3 linked regions of the Arabidopsis thaliana genome follow. The protein of the gene in region 1 purifies or fractionates together with the protein of each later gene. This does not show direct contact. Each region holds a gene or a part of one and is shown in the gene's direction. Other genes may lie near its edges.

Evidence for each region.
Region 2: the proteins of AT4G08640 (region 1) and PAF2 fractionate together in Arabidopsis thaliana (co-fractionation; one large-scale study listed by BioGRID). This does not show direct contact.
Region 3: the proteins of AT4G08640 (region 1) and AT1G24510 fractionate together in Arabidopsis thaliana (co-fractionation; one large-scale study listed by BioGRID). This does not show direct contact.

What each region holds. Positions count from the first base shown.
Region 1 is NC_003075.7:5,510,110-5,516,526, forward strand, and holds AT4G08640 (ATP binding protein), read left to right. Parts: upstream 1-3,203; coding exon 3,204-3,338; intron 3,339-3,460; coding exon 3,461-3,594; intron 3,595-3,683; coding exon 3,684-3,817; intron 3,818-3,952; coding exon 3,953-4,065; downstream 4,066-6,417. Other genes in the region: AT4G08630 (fas-binding factor-like protein), read right to left, coding at 1-151, 508-657, 817-969, 1,067-1,222, 1,303-1,458, 1,548-1,850.
Region 2 is NC_003070.9:17,315,492-17,323,279, forward strand, and holds PAF2 (20S proteasome alpha subunit F2), read left to right. Parts: upstream 1-3,627; 5' UTR 3,628-3,728; coding exon 3,729-4,079; exon of another isoform or gene 4,080-4,926; coding exon 4,927-5,409; 3' UTR 5,410-5,711; downstream 5,712-7,788. Other genes in the region: GAMMA CA2 (gamma carbonic anhydrase 2), read right to left, coding at 5,893-6,192, 6,810-6,961, 7,064-7,189, 7,450-7,593, 7,742-7,788.
Region 3 is NC_003070.9:8,683,194-8,692,084, reverse strand, and holds AT1G24510 (TCP-1/cpn60 chaperonin family protein), read left to right. Parts: upstream 1-3,838; 5' UTR 3,839-3,983; coding exon 3,984-4,182; exon of another isoform or gene 4,183-4,282; coding exon of another isoform or gene 4,283-4,322; exon of another isoform or gene 4,323-4,395; coding exon 4,396-4,714; intron 4,715-4,817; coding exon 4,818-5,166; intron 5,167-5,309; coding exon 5,310-5,442; intron 5,443-5,523; coding exon 5,524-5,576; intron 5,577-5,668; coding exon 5,669-5,771; intron 5,772-5,944; coding exon 5,945-6,111; intron 6,112-6,214; coding exon 6,215-6,328; intron 6,329-6,410; coding exon 6,411-6,581; 3' UTR 6,582-6,814; downstream 6,815-8,891. Other genes in the region: BCP1 (homolog of Brassica campestris pollen protein 1), read right to left, coding at 3,027-3,386; ALB4 (OxaA/YidC-like membrane insertion protein), read right to left, coding at 7,119-7,422, 7,502-7,732, 7,812-7,915, 8,091-8,198, 8,388-8,492, 8,582-8,655, 8,741-8,801. UniProt on the Arabidopsis thaliana protein: Molecular chaperone; assists the folding of proteins upon ATP hydrolysis. Known to play a role, in vitro, in the folding of actin and tubulin.

The sequences.
Region 1 (6,417 bases):
GAGCAGATGGAGATTGCTCCACTTGGTTTGTTGTCTGAGATGGATGCGTCAAAGTTGACATAGCTGAAGATTCTGTGGAATCCTCATATAATGAAGATCGGCTACCTGAAGTTGGAAGTCCGGTCTGAGGTTGTTCCTTAGTACGAATTGACTAATGGAAAATTAAAGGAAGTTTTAGAAGACGTAAAAGCAACAAAACACTTTGAGGCGTGATAAAGTTAATGCTGATGTATATACTCAAAAACGTTAACTACACACTCTTCTTTCATGGTTAATGCTGATAAAACTTTTACAAACTTCAAAACACCAATAAACAATTTTCTAGTACTATGATATTTTGGAATATAAAACCTGTTCTTGAATGACAGATTTCTGAAAAGCTAGCAAAATATCATTGTAGTAAAACATGTACTAGTTCAGGATTCATATTAGAGGGGACATTATAGAGACTAAGTTCAAATAGAGAAAGTATCAATGTGAGACAGAATAGCTACGAACTAAAATTACCAAAGGAGTGCGAGGTCTCATTGATCGTCCACCTGCAAGTCCAATGCTTGGCATGCCACTAGTATACGACTCATCATAATCAACATCACTTTCTCCATTGGATGGTGGCTGAGCTACTGCATGTGGATGCCTCAGTGGAGGGTTTTTAGTCTGTAATACACAAAGTGAAATATCAAGTTTAACGAATAATAACTAGCAAGAACAGTAAGGATATCAAAAATTTCACTACTAGCAACATGACTCTCAACATTCTTATAGCTGATATACAAGTACAAGATTCAAAATGAGTGTGTTTAACAAACTAATTACCAGAGGAGAACGTGACCGTGCAGCCCTTCCACCAGGAAGTCCTACACTTGGAATGCTGCTTGTATAAACATATGGAGTCTCATCATCTTCGTTATCCTCATCTGCTCGCTGATGAGCTGCCATCACCGGACGCCCTTGTGGTTGGGTTTTGTTCTGTGCTTTCCAAAATATTGAAATTTTGAGAAATAGTTAAAATATGAAAATAATAATAAAAACCTAGAAACAACAAGTTTCAAGAGTCGATCAATACCATAGAAGATTGTGGCCGCATAGCCCTCCCACTTCCAAGCCCAATACTTGGTCTACCAATTGTATAATCTATAGAAACAACATCATCATCATCATTACCGTCATTCTTATTTCCTTCGTTTGTTGGTTGTGTACGTCTCGGAGGTGCAATCTTAGTCTGCACCAAAAGAGTAACAACATATGAAAGCTGAAACCAAGATACACTTGGCAGGCAAAAGAACTTAAAACTAGACTGACCATCACAGGAGACTGAGGTCTCATTGCTCTTCCACCAGGAAGTCCAATACTTGGTCTACTGCTCGTTACATCCACTGAAAAATCATCATCCTCATTGTCCTCATCAACTAACTGTGGAGTTGCCATCTGTTGACGCCTTGCCATAGGATTCCTAATCTGTCAGTCCAGAAAACACTATCACATAAAATCCCTACATTGCAAAACCCTCATTACAGTGAAAAAGTGAGTCTGTTAATTTTAATTACCACAGGAGAGCGAGAAGGATGAGATCTTCCAGCTGCGAGTCCAATGCTCCCTGTTCCGATAGCATTATAGTCAAAGGAAAGGTCTTCATCACTATCTTCCTCGTCCCCTGTTTGATTTGACATCACAGCCGCAAGTCTCTGAGCAGCTGCTTTTGTCTGAGCTTTCTTAGCATTCGAAGCTGGCCCAGCATTTGATCCTGAACGTGTATGACGATGCATTAGAGGAGACGTCATCATAGGCGAAGATGGTGTTCCTGGTTCCGTACTCTTATTCCTAACATGAATAGGTCTCGTGTTTCTCATCGTCAACTACAAAAATTAAGCACATTGATTTTCATCATCACATTCACATCAATGGCAGTTTGATTGGAACTAAAAATTCCACACATTGAATTAAAAAAATAGTTACCAAATTTGTCAAAATTTTGGAAATCACAGAAAAGTGAAATCCAGAAAAATGGAAAAAGAATTAAATGCGTGAATTAAACAGAACCTTACAAAATTAGATTCAACAGAAATCTCAAAGAATGTTTCAAAAGAAAAAGCAATGAATAAATTTGCCATTTATGGCAGCACATATTTCTCTCTCTGACTGATCTTCGGTCATTTAGCCAGAAATTGCGAGTGGCTTTCAACGGTCGGATTGAGAACAGTTTCTTCTTTAATTATTTATACTTTCATCCCCAATAATTTATTATTGTTATCGATAGTACCTAAATTTATTTATTTTATAGTTTTCATCCCACGATTGTGTAATAATTATCCAAAGTACCCTTTTCCAATTATAATAGCATTATCATCTTTTTGTTTATGGTTTAGGTACAGTTTTTAAAGTTTTCTCACGGTTTGTAAAATAGAAAAAGGAAAATCAAGTAACTAAGAGATATATTATTTGATTTGATAGTTAGCTCGTAATTGTTTCGTCTACCACAACGGCATATAGAAATTTATATTTCTAGTTATGACTTATGATCAGTGATTATAGCATATGTTGTATGATAAAAAATATTTTTCATATAGTTTTTATTTCTTATTAAATTATTAATTACTTATTAGGCAATACATATTTTTTCATTTATTACTTGATATCTCTAACTTTTGCTCTCTTTGTAATACGTAAGTGTAACTTATCTCTGTGTTGTTTTTATGCTTGGCAACATCAATCCTTAATAAGATAGATGAGCTTTTTATCATATCCGAAATAGCCTCTAAGCAGCAGAAAGATGAAAGAGATGATTTAGCCATTCCTTTTGCTAGATCAATTCTCAACCATAAAGATTCTTTGAAAGAGATGAGACTGATAACATTTCGGGATATACAAAATCCTTGGAAAAGGTGAATGATGCGTCCTTATTACTATTTATTATTTCTAGAGTTAAAACATAAATATCATATTTGTTTTTTTGTTCGGTAGGCTCTTGAGATACTTCAAGAACAAGTTAAGATATCTGAGAGACTATGGTTGTGCAAGAGACTTTTCTTTCCCGAATGAGGATGATAACTAGCAAGCAGTTTAACCAAAAAAGTTTAAATTCTTTAGTACTTGAGGTATTTTATTCATGTAAGATTTTTTTTATTATTTCTCATTTCTTCAGTGTTATTGCAATAGAATGGTTCATCTGTTTACAGGTATGCTCTTAAGTCCTAACGAATGCAATGACCATGAACATTGATGATGTCCATGTTGCCAAGATATTGGGAGTAGACTCTCGCAAATCTTGCGTTGTCTGTGGTATCGTCTTTAAAAGTGACGATGTAGGTAACATTAGGCATCCTTTGAAAAATGCAAAGGTGAGACCAGGTTGAACAAATCTTGCATAACATGGCATCCTTTGTAACTGTCTTTCTCAAGGATGGTTGTGTTTTTAATTGTTGACTATTTTTCTCCTTTATTTTGGGTTCTAGTCTTCTAGGTACATAACTTTGGAAAGTCAAAGGAAGCCATGCTTGAGACTTTGGTTAAAGATATTGCTTTTTCCAATGTAAAAGTTATTGTTAGTCGGTCATCAATTTGTGAAATGACACTACGTTTCTGCAAAATTTACAAGTAAGTAATCTCTAACATTTGAACCTACTTTGAATCATTTTTTCTGAACCTTTTGATAAATACAGTGTTGGCAATACCATTTTTTTTAGGATAATGGTTCTACAGATTTCTTCTGACATTGATATTAACAGTTTATGTTCAATAGTTGGTGCAATTGATTCATCTCAGCATTTCCAACCTCATCATCTTGGATACATGGATTCTACATCATTATCAGAGATTGGTAATTCCTCAACAATCACTTTGTGTGGAACGAAATGGAAAGTCTTAACCAAACAACAAAGCTACATTACTCATGGAATCAATACATACAATTTAATACTTGTATATTTACTGAATTAGTTATTCTTGTCTGTAGCCAAGAGAGCTGTAAAGAAGGCAGAGAGAGATGCAGAGAGGGCTGAGAGAGCCTCTCAGAAGAAAGCAGAGAAGTTTAAGAGTAAGCTCCAGGCTGAGAAAAAGAAGGATTGAAACTAGATCAGATAATTGATGTGTTTCTTTTTATCATGTAATGAATGACTTAGAGTAATGTAGAGATTATTGTTCTTAAAAGGTTTGCGGGAGCTGTCTTCACTAAAGGTAAAAAAATCTTAACATGTGAACTCTTTTTGTCGACTCTATCCTTTTTTAGAAGCAGAGGTCTGTTATTAGATGATTATTTAAGAGACATTTTTGAAGTATTTGCTCTGTATAAAGGATCATGAGGCATTTTTTTGTCATGTCTCAAAAATAGACGGAATACATTATCAAAGTTTATATATTTATAGATTATAATGTGTAAGAAAGCAATGTACAACCATGTCTAACGCATAAGCCCCAATAACGTAAAAGCCAGCACCTCTTCAGAACAATCTCTTCCTAAAGAGAGCTCCAGATGAGAAACTATCGATTTAAAAAATACACTAGATGGAAACAAAAAGTATGAACCTTTAAAAATACTCCTCTCGAGTCAATATCAATCTATTAGTCACGGTCTTAAGAGAGTTAAGCTCGAATTCAACTTTATAAAGGTGCTCTAACGAAGATGTTGCCTCCTCCCTAGCAATCTAAAACGATTCCAAGATCTAAGGTGTTAGTACAAATACCCGTAAGAACAACAACATATCAAAACTTGAAGTACCTCAGCTTCTGTGTGAAGAGCCAAAACATCTACCCTCCTTCCTCCATGATTTTGTGATGCAACTCTCAAAGCAGCCTGAAAAGAATTTGGTTCTATGGATTATGCTACTTTTTTATAGGCCAAGATCTAAACTAGAATCATAAAGCCTCATGGAACTTTATAATAAAAAAATAATGTATGAGACCATGTAGATAAATGATAAGACACTAACCTCTCTCTGAAGCAAGAAACACATTCACAGAATTAAATTTTTGTCAAAGGTTATCCAGAATTTAAATAGAACGGAAGCTTACCTGCTTTAAAGACGTGCGTTCATAGTAACACCTTCTCCAAGGATTTCAACCTAATAAAAATCGGTTTTGAGTTTACAAATGTGATAAAATCTCGAGGTAATGAAACAATATAAACAGTACGTAAGAAGAGATTTGTATGATATACTGAGGCATGAACCACCTGCATACCTGTTTCTCAAGTTGCTTAGCTCTAGCATCTGATTCTTCACACTTATCTTCTGCAAGTCGAAGCTGGGGATGCACAAATTAGGATGGGATGCATACCATAATAAAATTGTACAAGGATTATCTAACTTCAAAACAAATCTTGTATATTAATACACATAAGATTGGCAACAACTATGATAAAATGATAGGCTAGTCCAAATAAAAAATTCAAATTTGCCAGTGTAATTCAATGATAGCTTAATTGTAACAAATCAAGAGATTCTTTTCAGGAAAAGATGTCATCAAATGAAATTGAGTAACTAATCCATACTGACACCAAGTGTGAAAATTTACTGGCATCACCTTTTCTAACTACCTTTCATTTTCTTCATATAACATTTGAATTTTACATCAGTTTCCATAATCTAACTATAAAAATAATAATTCAACTTGATATCTATTTGAAATTTAGTTTGATTCTTGATTTGATCTATATGACTTGGAATCCTTGTGTCTGAATCAGGGGCGGATCTACATTAGCATGAGATAGGGCACGTTCCCCATACTACTTCTTAAACTTTAGCTAGTAACAATTGATTGGTTATATCTTTTACATCATTTAGCAATAAGTGCCCTATGCCACATCTTAGATGCAGTGTTCGATACCCCTGTGTACAATGTTTTTGGCTTTTATTCTCTTTATTTTATATTTGTTTTCCACATTCTTGTTTAGCGTCTTCATGTAATTAGATGCATTTTTCTTATTCATTGTTATCGTTTTTTAAAGTAAAACTATGTTCTGCTGAAAATAAACAAAAATAAAAGTATTCTTTTTCAGTTCTATTTTTATTTTTGTAATTCTAGTTTAACTTTAACAAATTTGAAGTCATAACTATTGTAAAGTATACCTACATTTTAATTAAAAATGATAATAAAAACTAGGGAATTAGTAAACAATGCTATATCATGTTCTAGTCAATTTAATATTTAAAGTTTCAAGTAAATATAAATAATATTATATATATATATATATATATATATATATATATATAAGTTACATTTTTGTAGTGAGTTGTACTTCTAACTATGCATCTTTCTAATTAAAAATAGTGTGTTTGGCGATGTCAATTTAAAAATATATTAAGGGTGACAATGTATAATTAATTTAATATTATAAAATAGTTCTTAATATGATTATTATGTAAATCAAATATCATTAATCATATGTTATTGTGCCCTACATAAATTGTTTTCATGGATCCG
Region 2 (7,788 bases), on another chromosome or scaffold:
TCCTTTGTTGTATACTTGTTCCTTTTAATTTTTTCAAAGAGGAAGTGGTGTGATCGTTAAATGCTACTCATCTCTCTTATTATATTGGGAATGTCTCGATAACAAGTAGGGCTACAATATACTAAAATATTTTTGGGCAACAGTGCTGACAAGCTTTTAAGCCACATAATTTTGAATAATTATGATTTTCCTCTAAGCTCTCGCAGGGCTGCTAATCGACGGAAGCAGTCGTCATCAAACTTATTACTGAATTGTATTAAAATTGCATGCATAACAACAATAAATCATGTTTTTTAACACTAGCACATACGTCATGCGCGACGTGTCGTCAATCTGGTGGATGGTTAGTGATTCTCCTTTGTTATATTTATACGAAACATGTTGTTTCTGGCCTTTGTTCCACCCCTTCCCCCAATGCAACATTGGAACCCGTATATAACACTATCACCGCATTTAAGGCAATGGATACATATCAAATATTTTCCTACGGACTCTTTACATTGTCAAATCGCAAATAAAATGTGCCGACTAGATTATATAGCAAGTTGCATACTAATGATTACTGCTATTACCAAACATTTCATGTAATGTATGATCTCTACAAGTTGATACTTTGCCGAGGCTATAACCCAATACACAATTTCCAACTCAGGCCTATTCTTTTCATACCGCGTTTGCATATAGGAATTACATGAGTTGTTTTTAAATAACGTTCTATTTTACAGTTACCAATGACCTTTTTATCTGTTAGTCTTCATTAAATAACTAGTCGCATACAAAGTAAACATCTCTATATATATGGTCCGTTTTTGGCATATCTAGTGATATAAGTTAGGGTTTAAATATCAAATGCATCTGTAATTGAAAGTATGTGGTTTATAGAATTAAAAAAAAAAGAAGGAACAAATACATATATATATATATATATATATATATATATATATATATATCGTGTGTTTTATAAATAAAGCGGATTACTCATTACCTACGCATGTTTACGTTCTCATTAGTAATTGAAATCTATAAGTTATGTGGCTCATCCAGAACAACGCCATATATAGATGGCGTGTGTTTTATAAATAAAGCGGGTTACTCATTATCGTGTGTTTTAAATGCTACTCATCTCTCCTGTTATATGTGGAATCTTTTGCTACGAAGTAGGGCTACAATATATTAAGACATTTTCCGCAACAGTGCTTACAAGCTTTTAAGCCACATAATATTGAATAATTATGATTTCCCTCCAAACTCTCGAAGGGCTGCTAATCGATGGAATCTGTCGCTTCTGTAAATGTCGCATCAAACATATAACTGAATTGTATTTGAATTACATGCATAACCACAATAATTCATGTGTTTTAACATTATCGCAGACGTCATGCGCGACGTGTCGTTTATCTGGTGGATGCTTAGTGGTTATCCTATGTTATATTTATACGAAACACGTTGTTTTTGGAATTTGTTTCACCCCTTCCCCCAATGCAACATTGGAACTCGTATATAACACTGTCGCCGCATTTAATGCAATAGATACGTATCAAATATTTTCCTACGGATAGATTTACATTGTCAAATCGCAAATAAGATTTGGCGACCATATTATGTAGCAAGTTGCATACTAATGATTACTGATATAACGAAACATTGCATGTAATGTATGATCTCTATAAGTTGATACTTTGCCGAGTTTATTGCCCAATACACAATTTCCAACTCACGCCCATTGTTTTCATACAGCGTATGCATATAGGAATTACATGTGTTGTTTTTAAATAACATTCTATGTTACAGTTACCATTGACCTTTTTATCTGTTAGTCTCCATTGAATAACTAGTCGCATACAAAGCAAACATCTGTATATATATATGGTCCGTTTTTGACATATTTAGTGATATAAGTTAGTGTTTAAATATCAAATGCATCTGTAAAATCTAAAAGGTATGTGGTTTATAGAATTAAGAAAAAAATGAACAAATACATCTATATATATCGTGTGTTTAATAAATAAAGCAGGTTACTCATTATCTACGCATGTTTATGTTCTCATTGGTAATTGAAATCTATAAGTTATGTGGCTCATCAGGAACAAAAACATATATAAATGGCGTGTGTTTTATAAATAAAACGGGTTACTCATTACCTACGCATGTTTATGTTCCCTACATATAGACACCTAGTGTCGGAACTCACGAGTTCCCGTCTATTTTTCCAGGTTATTTTGGTTATTTTACACCCCAAGAAAAAACTATTTACTAAAGTTTTCTGACGTATGACTATTTTGCTAATTTGTATGTCGAATTTGGCTAGTTAGCTAATTGACACAATTTTAATACTCTTTGTTTCCAACCAAATAATACAAGATTTTATCAAAAACAAAATATCAAATTAAAAATCTAATAACATGTGACTTTATTTGTTTAGATTTCTAAATTAATTTTATTCCAAACCAATTTAAACTACACATGCTAAATTATTAATTTTCATAAAATTAGAAATAATAAAATACAATAACTTGTAATTCCCTCTAGTCCATGAAGTTTGATGTTTTAAATTTTACTTTTGTTTCACAAAAGTTGATGTTTTAAATTAATATTATTTTCATTAGTGATCAATAGAGAAAGGAAAAAAAGTAGAACTGATATTATTAAATTAATTAAAAAAATAATAAATGAATTATAAACACGAGAGGGAGGCAAGAAAAAACTACTACAACAAGAGCACCATCATCGGAAAATACTTCATGGAGAAAACCGACAGTTTCTTTTGTCAAGTGCAATTTCGATGCGGACTTACACAGGAATAGTACTTAAAGTACGGGTGGATGGATTATACGAGACCATGAAGGGATAGCAAACACATGAGGATCTTCAATTTTAGATCATGTCAACACTCTCCTAAAGGCTGAGACGAAAGCGTTACTTGTGGCGATGCAACAAATTTGGATACAAAAATACAAGAAAGTACAATTCCAAAGAGATTGCGAAGTCCTCATTAAAACCATCAATGGCAAGTCTAATAGAAGTAAAATTGCTAATTTACTTCTAGATTTAGAGTATTGGTCTTCAGATTTTCATCTATTGTATTTACTTTCACAAAACGTCTTTGTAATAGTATAGCTCACCATTTAGTTTTCCTAATTTTACGATTTTTGTGTTTTAAGCGGACTATTTTGCTTCCCCAATTTTTACGATTTCTGTGTTCAAAGCAGACTTTAGGAACGAGCCAATTTGGTTCAAAAACCTTCTCTGTAATGATCTACATTCATAGATTAAAACATAGTTTGCAGTAAGAAAAAACAATAAAAATAATATAAAAGTTATTTTTTTTAATTTGTGAAAAATCCAAAATATCATTGTTTTAGGATCAGAGGGAATAGTAAATTTATAATCAGTGTAGTGAAAAATGTGTAAATAAATAATGTAAAACCAATTGAAACTGCAAATGTTAAATTATGAATTAAATTAATTACTATAAAAAGAAATAATATAATGCTAAGTATTTATTTATAAAATTATAATCCTTTTAAATGTGTAAAAAATAATAAAGAGTAATGGATAATTAAACCCAGCCCATTAAGTTTCATAAGCCCATTTTACTCTACTGTCTTCTTTCTCTTTTTTTTGACAATCTTTACTTTCTTCTTCTAAGCTCTATAAGAGAGACCATCCTCCTCTAGCTTGAAGCAAACGAAAAGCTTTTGAAGAACAGAGGAACAAGAAGAAGAAAGATGTTCAGGAACCAGTACGACACAGATGTGACAACATGGAGTCCCACAGGTCGACTATTCCAAGTCGAATACGCCATGGAAGCTGTGAAACAAGGCTCCGCAGCAATAGGACTCAGATCTCGCTCTCATGTCGTCCTCGCTTGTGTCAACAAAGCACAATCAGAGCTCTCTTCTCATCAAAGGAAGATCTTTAAAGTCGATGATCATATTGGTGTTGCTATTGCTGGTCTCACTGCTGATGGTCGTGTTCTCTCTCGATATATGAGATCTGAGTCTATTAATCACTCTTTTACTTATGAGTCTCCTCTTCCTGTTGGTCGTCTTGTTGTTCATCTTGCTGATAAAGCTCAGGTAAATTGAGATTTTTGGGTTAACTTTTGAATTTTGACCTAGAATTTGCTAAAGGGTTTAGTTTTATGATGTGTGAGTATCTGAAAGTTTGAAGCTTTATGTAATTGGAGTAAAGTTTAGGTTTTTATTAGCAATGTGGCCAATTTTATTTGTAGAATGTGTGTGTTGTTATGCAAGTAGTGATATTGGTTTGTGATCAAGTCTTAGTGATTGGGAATTAGAGATTCTTGTGTTGTTAATCATATCCAGTTCTGTTGCTAGTTGCTTAATCCGATTAGAAAGAGTTAACCTGTATACCCACTTTGACGATAGAAGTGTATAAGAATGTGATGATTTTGGTCGTTTGGTTGTTTCTGTGTTGTCATCGTCTGTTCTCTTTGCTTGATAGAGTTGTTTTTGCTTGCAATTCTAGAATAAATATACGTCTTTGTTGATCTCTTTTTGGTTTTGTGGTTTTGACTTGTATTACTTTGCATTTGTTTACTTACTTGTAGTTGTAGTATGTCCTGGCCACTTTATTTACTTGCCTAATGAAGTATATTTTCAGTAAGATGTTGGTTTACAGTTGTGATAGAAATTTGTGCTACATGTTCACTACTTTTGGTGTTAAACGTAGTGTTCTCAAGTTAGATGATGTGTTCACAATTTTTAAAAGGTTTGATTGCTACGTCCCACTTACTTTCATGTCTGTCAAAAATTAAGTTAGCTGCTGTATCTACATTTTCAATTGATTTCTGAGAACGTATTGATATCAGTCTTGTAGTTTGAACAACACTCTGATTTCATTCAAATGTTAAGTCATTTGTTTGTCTTGTATTAAACATCTTCATAAATTATCTTTGAGCAGGTATGTACCCAACGATCATGGAAACGGCCTTATGGTGTGGGTTTGCTGGTAGGTGGATTGGACGAGTCAGGAGCTCACCTCTACTACAACTGCCCTAGCGGAAACTACTTTGAATATCAAGCATTCGCTATCGGGTCTCGTTCACAAGCTGCGAAAACCTATCTGGAGCGCAAATTCGAGAGCTTCCAAGAATCATCAAAAGAAGATCTGATAAAAGATGCTATTATGGCCATAAGGGAAACTTTGCAAGGGGAAACACTGAAGAGCTCGCTCTGCACTGTTTCTGTTCTAGGAGTCGATGAACCATTCCATTTCTTGGACCAGGAAAGCATTCAAAAGGTGATTGATACGTTTGAGAAGGTTCCTGAGGAAGAGGAAGATGCTGGTGAGGGTGAGGCCGAACCCGAAGCTGCTCCTGGTGCTGCTGGAACTGGTGAACAAGGTGGTTCAGGTGATCAAGATGTTGCACCAATGGAAATTTGAGCAAGAGGGAATGAGTTCAAAGTTGGATTTTCTAACCAATTTTCTTGTGTGTAGCTCTTTGATATGTTCCAACTTCCAAGTACAATTGTGGTTTTTATTCGGCTTTGTTTATTTAACAGCTTGGAACAAGGAGTTATTGAGTGCCACTAGCTTATGTTTAGTCCTACTTAAGTCAAATCTGTCACATGATAATAATAATCGGCGAATCGCCAACCTAGAGAGTGTATCAAACAGACACCATTTTGAATGAGAGAAACAGCGAGAGAAAGAATGAAAGATTAATCCAACTTTGTTTCTCTTTCTGCAAATTGTTCCTCGAAGAAATGACTTCATAATGCAACCATACATTATTGAGCAAGGATGATAAATCTCCTGCTTGCTCGGAAGAAAAGTTAAAACCAAAATAATATCTCTCTTGACCTTCCAGAGAATCAATCCTGTCTTGAAATGATTTCAACACACAAAAACAACCTGAGATTGGAATTAGAAGTACTGAGTAGACGGAACCTTGGCGACGGGTTTACCACCTGGTAAGACATTGTCGGGAAGAATCAACTCCGGTGGAGTTTCACGGGTAATCCCAAGCATTGAATCGTAATCCTCGTCCTTGCGTGCATACTTCTTCCTAAGCGCTCTCTCAACCTCGATCTGCTCAAATGACTTTGAATTCTCTGAGGCGTGAATCTGTGCGAGATTGATGTAATTCTTTGCTGACTGTGAGATGTATACTATCTCTTCATCTGTTAACTTTCTCATGAACTTTGCTGGATTTCCTCCCCACACCTGCCACATGAAACTGATAACTTATAGATATGTCCTTGTAAATATATTCTCAGGTTGACGGTTGAAGAAAGTAGTTCAAAAGCATAGCGATATAAGAAATCCGTCTAATTCCTCATAAAACATTGGAAACACAAGAACCCTCTGTTACTCCCAACTCACCCTTGTTTCATATACAAGTAGAATTGCAACGGAAACAAAGGTGGTTCTCAGATTTAGACGATATATAAATACTATTTACTCTTCTTTTTGATCAAAATATAATACAATTTACAGGCATATCATTTCATTAACTAATTCTGTATCAACTAAATTGTAAGCAAAGCAAAAGTGGATCTACTTGAAGAAGTTCAGCTGGTCAAGCCTTAGCTACAGGTCAGCGTAGGACTAAATGCAGCAGACTACAGCTGCTATTACTTGGTTAATTAGCAGTTCGTTATTAGGCTTGGTAGAGCTTCAGGGTCCGTGATAAGTAAACCTAGCTAGAGTTCTATTTTTGGTTCTTGATACTTTGGATTTTCTCGTTCAGTTTAGTGAGAAATAAAGCAGTTTCCAGTTCCAGTCTTATCACAAACTCCGTAAGCAGTAAACCAGAAAAGATAAAGTGGAAAGAAAGAAACCTCTCCAGAAGGGATTCGCGTGTTCTGTTTCACAAGAGAACCAGCAGCAACCATGGCATGTTTCTCAACCACCACACCATCAAGTAGTGTTGCTCCCATACCAACAAAAGCATCATCCTCAACAGTACACCCATGAATGACAGCACTGTGACCTGCTCCGTTTCATTTTACAAACAAAACCTTTAACTAACAATCGTGTAACACAACATAAAAACAGATACTTCAAAACTGATAAATCGCTTTTTAAGGTTTACCTACTGTTACATTGTCCCCAATCAGAGTAGGTAGAACCTTGCCACTTATGTTGGTCTTTGCAACATGTACAAGCGTATTATCTTGGATATTCGTCCCAGATCCAACACTGATGTTATTCACATCACCTGCACAAGTTAGAAACCCAGATTAACATACAATAAGTTTCACAGCTACTTCATGACACATTTTATCGACAGTACAATAAATCTATGTCCAATGATCAGGACAGTAACGTATAACAGCGATACAAGATTATTAGAAGGTAAAGAGAACTTCATTTCCTAAAACTAAACTATGACTACTTTGCACAATATACTGCTGCAAAATTTGGTACTTCTATCGAACCAAAGGCCATTAAGACTTTCTAGAAGTAATAAAGCCTCACCTCGAAGAACACAGCCATACCAAATCGACGAGCCTTTTCCGATCTGAACATCACCAATAACAGAAGCACTCGGAGCCACAAACACATCTTTATCCACCAATGGTGATTTATCAAACACATTCATCAACGTCCGATGCCTCGACACTGAAAACAAACACAAATTTCTCGAATCAAATTTTTTCAATCTAAGCCACAAATTTCTCCAATCAAAGGTGAAGACACAAATTAGAGATAACGAATTGGATCTAGGGTTTCAATAGAGAGTATTAAGTGGAAGGATCTGGAAGCTTACGATGTTCCTCGATACGGTGACTTCCTTGAAGAAGAGAACCAACGCGA
Region 3 (8,891 bases), on another chromosome or scaffold:
TTAATTCTAACAACGTTTCCCTGTAAGATTTAGCACTCGTGTATGAGTTTTAAACTTCTGTAAAGTGTAAACAACTTTTCTTTAAAAAAAAAACTAAAGTAAAGCACTAAATATTCAATAAACTAATACATTTTTCGGTTCTGAATTAAGTTTTAGGGTTAATCAACATATCTAAGAATTTCACAAGTCTATCAAATATTATAGCTTCAACATAATTTATGGAATTTTTATTGTAATTTGTGTGATTAGTTTGTTTAGCAATTTGGTACTACTGTTTTTACAACTTAAGGTCCGAATAGTGACAGCGTATTTGGCAGTGCGAGAAAAGCGGATTTATATTGCAGTACGGTTCAACTGCGGTACATGCGGGAGAAATATATTTGCGGTACAAGTGCGGTTTTTATAGCATAAGCGGTACGAAATAATGTTTGATTGGTAAGAAAATAATTTGCGGAATTTGTTTGATTGGTAAATAGATATTTAAGATAAATAATTGATAAACAAATATATTAGTAATATAAATTTAATTATAACTACATAATTTCATTTATTGTTAATGAAATAATATTTTCATCTAGTATCTTTTTAGAAATTTGTTATAGCTAAACCTATAATTTTCTTTTAAATTATTGAGTAAAAATTGACTAAAATGATTATTTTACAACTTGTTAATTGTCAATTACTTCTAGTAAACTGTTGTATCAAATCACTCATGTATTAGTTAGTGGTTGTTATTAAGTTTTTTTCTATTTTTATAAATTTAATAAAAAAAATCACTTTTTTTCTTTGTCAAGTGCGGATTTTGATTTGAACCGCTGCTCATTACTTGTTGGATAAATAAGTGCGTTTTCATTGATTAATGTTCTTACCTCAGAAAACGCAACAGTATTTTTTTTGTTTTCTGAAAAATAACGTAATTAACAAAATAACTGTGATTGGTGACATATTGAGGTTTTCCAAAAAAGCTATTCAAATACGCACTTATATATGTCTCCAATCAAGGCCTTAGGGTCGAATGGTGACAGCGTATTTGGCAGTGCGGGAAAAGCGGATTTATACTGCGGTACGGTCCAACTGCGGTACATGCGGGAGAAATATATTTGCGGTACAAGTGTGGTTTTTATAGCATAAGCGGTACGGAATAATGTTTGATTGGTAAGAAAATAATTTGCGGAATTTGTTTGATTGGTAAATAGATATTTAAGATAAATAATTGATAACAAAATATATTAGTAATATAAATTTAATTATAACTATATAATTTCATTTATTGTTAATGAAATAATATTTTCATCTACTATTTTTTTAGAAATTTGTTATAGCTAAACCTATAATTTTCTTTTAAACTATTGAGTAAAAATTGACTAAAATGATTATTTTACAACTTGTTAATTGTTAATTTAGTTCTAATAAACTGTTGTATCAAACCACTCAAGTATTAATTAGTGGTTGTTATTAAGCATTTTTCTATTTTCATAAATTTAATAAAAAAAAAATTACTTTTTTTCTTTGTCAAGTGCGGATTTTTATTTGAACCGCTGCTTATTACTTGCTGGATAAATAAGTGCGTTTTCATTGATTAATGTTCTTACTTTAAAAAACGCAACATTACTTTTTTTGTTTTCTGAAAAATAACGCAATTGACAAAATAACTGTGATTGGTGACATATTGAGGTTTTCCAAAAAAGCTATTGAAATACGCACTTATATATGTCTCCAATCAAGGCCTTAGATTGGTACGTTCGTAGGCGTTCTTATGGAATTTTAGAATTTTGTTTTAAATATATACCCTATAATTTGATAAGTATTTTTGAATTAACTTAGATATTTGTTGGAACAAAATGATTTTAAGTGTTGATTAGACTCTTGTGAGTGGTGGTTCAAGTTGAAATGAGGATATTTATTTTCTTTATTTAAATTTTAATGAAAATATCATAGAAGAGCAACATTCTCGAAAGTTTAAATATCTTGCAATAGGTGTCAAGTTCGAAAGAGCACTCCTATGCCTTTTGATCTCTTTTACTTTAAAATCATCACTTTTTACATGGTCATTTCAAAAACTTCTCTTTAAATCGTTGAACAATTTTTTTCTTTTCAAATAATAAATATCTGGACAGTCAGTGAATATGGAACTTTCTTTATCAAGTATGATATATGAATATGAGAATGATGCATTGATGCTTTGTATGGTTGGTTATTGATAGGAATACCCCAAATACGAAGTGGTATTTTGATAGATAAGACTAAAGAGATCCTAAAGAAAGAAAGAGATCGAAAAAGAAAAAGGAAAAAGAAAAAGAAAATAGGTATTATTAGTTGAGTTTAGGACCAAAAGTGCAACACACCAATACGAACCCGTATACACTACTACGCGTACGGCTCTTCCTTCACTCCTTGTATGGGTCCCTCGCTGAGCTTCTATAGTGGAAGCTCCCCAAACCCAACCATGAAATTGGCTCCTCATCACATTCACACCTTTAAAATTCCAATGTAATATATTTTCTTTCTCTGGAGACAAAACTTATTTTCAATCTAGTCTATTAGTTTGAGTTATTATTTGGAGTTTAAAAAATATGTCCTTTTCTTTTATTTGGTATTTCTATCCGAGAACACTTTGGCTGATTCTCTGGCAAAGGCTAGTCTTAAATCTTGTATCATCTCCTCTAGTGATAGAGAGTTTGAGTAATCTTAACGTCCCTAAATGCATAAATATATGCATTTTGATTAGGATATTTTTTTCTTGTTTTTTTTTTGTTTGCATTTTGATTAAGATTTATACACGATGGTTACAATTTTACTTAATTAATTATTATGGCTTTTGACCCCGAAATCGTATATTATTATATTCAATTCAGAATTTTGTATCTAAACACCGTTAGTGAAAAGTTTTTTTTTTCAGTATTATTACAAAGACAACGTTTCTCCTAACAAAGGAGAAACAAATTACAACAAGATCATCACAATCATCCTTACATATAAATAATCTTCGTTTAAAATAACCTTCTTATCATAAAACAATGCCCAACTTAGAGTAACAAGAAAGAACCAGCAATGGATGTAACACCAACGACGACCGCAGAGACGCCAAGAGCTGCCGCACCGCTTTTGGCAGAATCAGCAGAGCCTGTAGGCGCATTGTCGTACGAGGAGTCACTTCCTAGAGGACCAGCCACTGCAACGTCACCGTCACCAGGAGTAGGAGCTGCATCGTCATCGGTGGTTCCGATTTGGTCATCGGTGACTGGAGCCTCGACATGATCGGTTTTGGAGGCAGCTGGAGCTTTGGAGGGAGACGCTGAAGGAGATGGAGAGGAGGCAGCTGCGGCAAGGCCAATGATGGCCATGAAGACGAGGGCAACCACGACGACAATGTTTTGGCGACCCATTCTTCTCTCTCTCCTTCTTACGTAGAACTCGTTTAATTTATTTTAGGGTTTGAGGTTTATTGATTGTGATGATTTCCGAAGATGAGTTTGATATGTATATATAGTTGTGTTTTGTGATCAAGACCAAAAATAAAATAGAAAACGTTTGAACTAAGATGTAGGATTACCTTACAATCCAATGTAAATCTACTGGAGTACCTAAAAATGGACTTGTTCAGATATAGATTTTGATTGGTGAACATGCGAATGAATATGAAACCATTCGTTCAACTTCAAATCGTCGTATTAACGAGTGTCTTATTAAAGAACCAAATTATGATAGTATTGCCATGAACATTCTATTCATCTTATATCAGATGGGCTTTAAACCCATAAGCCCAAACGTCTTGTTAGGCCCATGAATCAATTCCGATTTACGATTCTGCCATCAACAGCGAGTTAGGGTTTTACACTCGACCACTTTAAGCTCTCAAATCTTCCAGACATTCTTCTTCTCGCTTTTTTCCCCATTTCAACTTTTTTTTTTCCTCTCCAGTGCACTAGGAAACAAAAAAAACCCAAGATCTATAGTTCGATCGGATCGAGAGAAGCTCGAAAATGGCGCTGGCGTTCGATGAGTTCGGGCGTCCGTTCATTATACTGAGAGAGCAAGATCAAAAGACTCGTCTTAGAGGAATCGATGCTCAGAAAGCCAATATCGCCGCTGGTAAAGCCGTGGCTCGGATCCTTCGATCCTCTCTTGGACCCAAAGGAATGGATAAGATGCTTCAAGGACCTGACGGAGACATCACCATCAGTTCGTTTCTTCCTTTTGATTTCTTCATATCTGCTTTTAAATTTCTAGTTTCGCTCTTGTTTACTTGGCATAGTGTTTACTATGTTGATGCCGTAGTTTGATGAATAGATCCATCTACTTTTTGAAAATCGATTCGCTATGTCTGTTAACTTAGCTCAGCTCTACTACTACTTGTATATTGTTTGTAACCTCGCCTTTGTTTTGCTTTTGCAGCAAACGATGGTGCTACGATATTGGAGCAAATGGATGTTGACAACCAGATTGCGAAACTAATGGTGGAACTGTCGCGGAGTCAGGATTATGAAATTGGTGATGGAACAACAGGTGTTGTTGTTATGGCTGGTGCACTTCTTGAGCAAGCTGAACGTCAGTTAGATAGAGGAATTCATCCCATTCGTATTGCTGAAGGATATGAGATGGCTTCTAGGGTGGCTGTTGAGCATTTGGAGCGTATTGCCCAAAAGTTTGAATTCGATGTTAATAATTATGAGCCTCTGGTTCAGACTTGCATGACTACTCTGTCCTCGAAGATGTAATGTTCCTTTTTGATATTCAGGCTACTTTTCAATAGTTGTTGCTTGTTTTTACTTGGTTTATAGTATACTGTCTTAACTCTTTCTTGCTCATTGTTACAGTGTGAATCGATGCAAGCGCAGCTTAGCTGAGATTGCTGTTAAAGCGGTTCTTGCTGTTGCTGATTTAGAGAGGAGGGATGTTAACTTAGATCTGATCAAAGTAGAGGGGAAAGTTGGGGGAAAGTTGGAGGACACTGAGCTTATTTATGGAATACTGATTGACAAAGATATGAGTCATCCGCAAATGCCAAAGCAGATTGAAGATGCCCACATTGCCATTTTGACTTGTCCCTTTGAGCCACCGAAGCCGAAGACTAAGCATAAGGTGGACATTGATACAGTGGAAAAGTTTGAGACATTGCGCAAGCAAGAGCAGCAATATTTCGATGAGATGGTACAAAAGTGCAAGGTAGGTTTTAATTTGTATTAATTTATATTGTCAGTTGGATGTTGAGTAAGCTACTGAAGAAATCCTTTTGACAATGGTCATTAGTACCACAATGCATTTTATGATATGATTTATGTATGACCCTTATGATTTTAACTTTGCAGGATGTTGGTGCTACGCTGGTTATTTGCCAATGGGGATTCGATGATGAGGCAAACCATCTATTGATGCACAGGAATTTGCCTGCTGTCAGATGGGTAGGGGGTGTTGAATTAGAACTTATCGCAATAGCCACAGGTAAGTAAAGTACTCTTAAGCATCTAATGCTAGTGTTTGTATCAGTTATGCAAAGCTGATCAGAAATTTTTCTTTTTGTAGGCGGTAGAATTGTTCCAAGATTCCAGGAGTTGACCCCAGAGAAGTTAGGGAAGGTATTTTTTTTACTTTCACTAGGTTTTGCTTGTAAAATGTTAATTAGATTTTAAACAGACCATTGAAACCCAACATTTCCTGATATATTTAGGCTGGCGTGGTTCGTGAGAAATCTTTTGGCACAACAAAAGAACGAATGCTGTATATTGAGCACTGTGCGAACTCAAAAGCTGTCACTGTTTTCATCCGTGGAGGTAATCGCCTTGTCTTTTGTACTTATTAGCACTTTAGCAGCACTGTTTTGACTTTTGAATAGCTGATGAGAGATAAACATCGATGTACTGAATCTAATGCCTTCTAAGTATATGGTGGACAACGATATTGTATAACTGATTGATCCAACGATTTGTTGCGGAATATGGTTTAGGTAACAAAATGATGATAGAAGAGACGAAACGTAGTATCCACGATGCTCTGTGTGTGGCTAGGAATCTCATCCGCAACAAATCAATTGTTTATGGAGGTGGGGCAGCTGAAATCGCTTGCTCACTTGCGGTTGATGCAGCTGCTGATAAATACCCTGGCGTGGAGCAGGTAAAATATGATCTTTCCTCTTTGATACCCTGAAATGAAATCATTTGTTTCTCAAATTGTAACTCTGAATACTAATCATGTATAAATACTTCCTCATTTACAGTATGCAATTAGGGCGTTTGCAGAAGCTTTGGACTCTGTCCCTATGGCTCTTGCAGAGAACAGTGGATTACAGCCCATTGAGACACTCTCTGCGGTTAAATCTCAGCAAATTAAGGTTAGTAAACGACGAACTTTATTATCTATATCATTGACTTGCTTGTTCGGTGACTGAACAAACATTGGGTTTTGATGAACAGGAGAATATTCCCTTCTATGGAATAGATTGCAATGACGTGGGAACAAACGATATGAGGGAGCAAAATGTGTTTGAAACATTGATCGGGAAACAGCAACAAATTTTGCTAGCTACGCAAGTCGTTAAGATGATTCTAAAGATCGACGATGTCATCTCCAATTCTGAATACTGATTTGTTGCTACCTTTGTCCTAACCTTTGGCTTCTTCGGTGTTTTTTGTTTGCTTTCTATTAGCTTTTGATACCCTTCGACATCGTTATCCTTGACTTGTTCCCTTTGTTTTGCAACCTTCTATTTAAGAACATCGTCAGATCTTAATTTTTGTGTGTACTTGTCCACAGATCGAAGCACTCGTTTGCATTTTCTTTTCGATTTAGTAACTGATGCAGGTCTCATACTGTAGACTAAACTATTATCGTATTAGTGTAACACCAGTGAACGAGGACAAAAGTAATTGTTTGCTTGTACATAAGAACATAAGAAATATGAAACCAAGCTTCGAAGGCTTCAAATACCCATCTGCTATGGTCTTTGTACACAAAATCTAAACCCTGAAGACTAATGTTTCCCACTCTTAAGATCTATAAACTTCGAAATCTGTTGCAGAGGGACTACAAGGCCTGAGTACCAAGATTTCTCCTCGTCTTATTCAAATCTCAATTCCTCTTTGTTTGTTTGGCTTCGCCTTAAGACATGAAAACATGAGTCTTTACCTCTTCTCTGTTTCATGAGAATGCTGTTGTTCTGTATCATGGCCAATGCCGAATGTCCCATTCGTAGTCTCGTCCTTTTGAATGGATGGCTTCCCATTCACAGCTACTGTGCCATCGGATGTTTCATCCACAGCAGAAAGTTCTGTTTTTTTATCATCTTCAGCGACAATGGCTGTATCAGATTTTTCATCTTGTTCATGTGCTTTGTCTGTATTTTGATTAGATAGAGCTGCTTCAGCTTTCTGCCTCTCTTCTTTTTCTCGACGTCTCTTTGCTTCTTGCTCTTTCAGCAGCCTAAACCTGGGATCACATGGACGTGTTAGTACAAAAAAACAGCTTCTAGGAACGAATGATGACACATTTTAGAAGATTTGGTTACCTTTCACCAGGTTTGGGGCATTCTGGGGTCACCTTTTCACCACCCTTCTCTCTTGGTATTTTCAGTTCTGAAACAGACTTCTGAACTAGTGGTTCTGAAAAAGACTTCTCAATTTGTTGTGTTTTATCTTCCTTAGTGACCAAATTAGTGAATTTCTCCACTGGATTCTTAGCACCACCATATTTTTGAAGCCATACTTGCTGTGCCGTGCTCAAAATGTTGTTGGTCAGCCTGCAAAAACACTTTAAAACTGAGAAGAATAGCGAGTGGAAGCTGACCACTCACGAAAACCACAGAAAATTAGACTCACCAATAAAGACTTAAACCAGAAGGAACTGATAATGCAAAATAGCCAATCATCAGTGGAAGAAGCTTAGTCACTGCTTGTGAGCTCTTCATGGCTGGATCATTACTCTGACAAAAAATGATAAGAAACATAAATTTCTCTGTTGCATAGAAGGATTTCGTTGTTGATTGAATTATACTTTAATGGAATGAGCTTTCAGCACAGGCACCAATGTGGTACACATTTTCAACATAGACGTAACTACTAATAGACTATTATCACATATTCCACATGATGCTATACCTGCGAGGACTGCATAATTTGAATGGAGAGGTATTGAGAGAAGACGAGCAATAGAGGTAAGACAAGATATGCTAATGTGTCTGGCCATCCGAGAGGTGGGTGTCCCTCCTGAGAAATAAAATGGAAATTTGTAGACATCAGCGATGAGGTCCGACACCACTCCCCTCAAGTTTTCTTCAATAATTCATTTTAATCAGTTTTATATGCTTGAACAATTAAACTGAATAAGAGTTCGTAAGAACTATGAGTCTAGTCTAGATTCCATTTTCGAAATATCAAGTTTCAAATGATACTTACAATGAAAGGGAACAGCCATGAGATTCCACTGCCATTCTGTCTTGCAGCAACAGTCGTTGGACCAGCAAGAGAAGGTATCCAGAAAAAACCTTCCGTTAAGAGCCCCTAAAGTTAGAAACAAGCATCCAACTACTTGTCAAAAAAGAATCTCAAGGCACTTACAGATACAAAAGGATATAGTTATTTCCAGGTACCTCATCTGCAACATTTGAGAGGGCTCTATATAGCCCAATCCAGACAGGTATCGTGGCTAGTGTGGGGAGGCAGCCTAACAGATAAATGAAAATATAGCTTAACCATAAATGTTGTCTCAAATGGAAAAACATACGATAAGCTGAAGTAACATACTGTACCTGCAAGGGGATTTATTCCAGCAAGCTTATACAATCTAGCAGTTTCAAGCTGAATTTTCTCCTGCAAAGATAAACAAAAATAAAGAAGCTATTTGTTTAAACAAGAGGGCTATATTCATACATAGTAAAGCTATAATATTTGTTATATTCA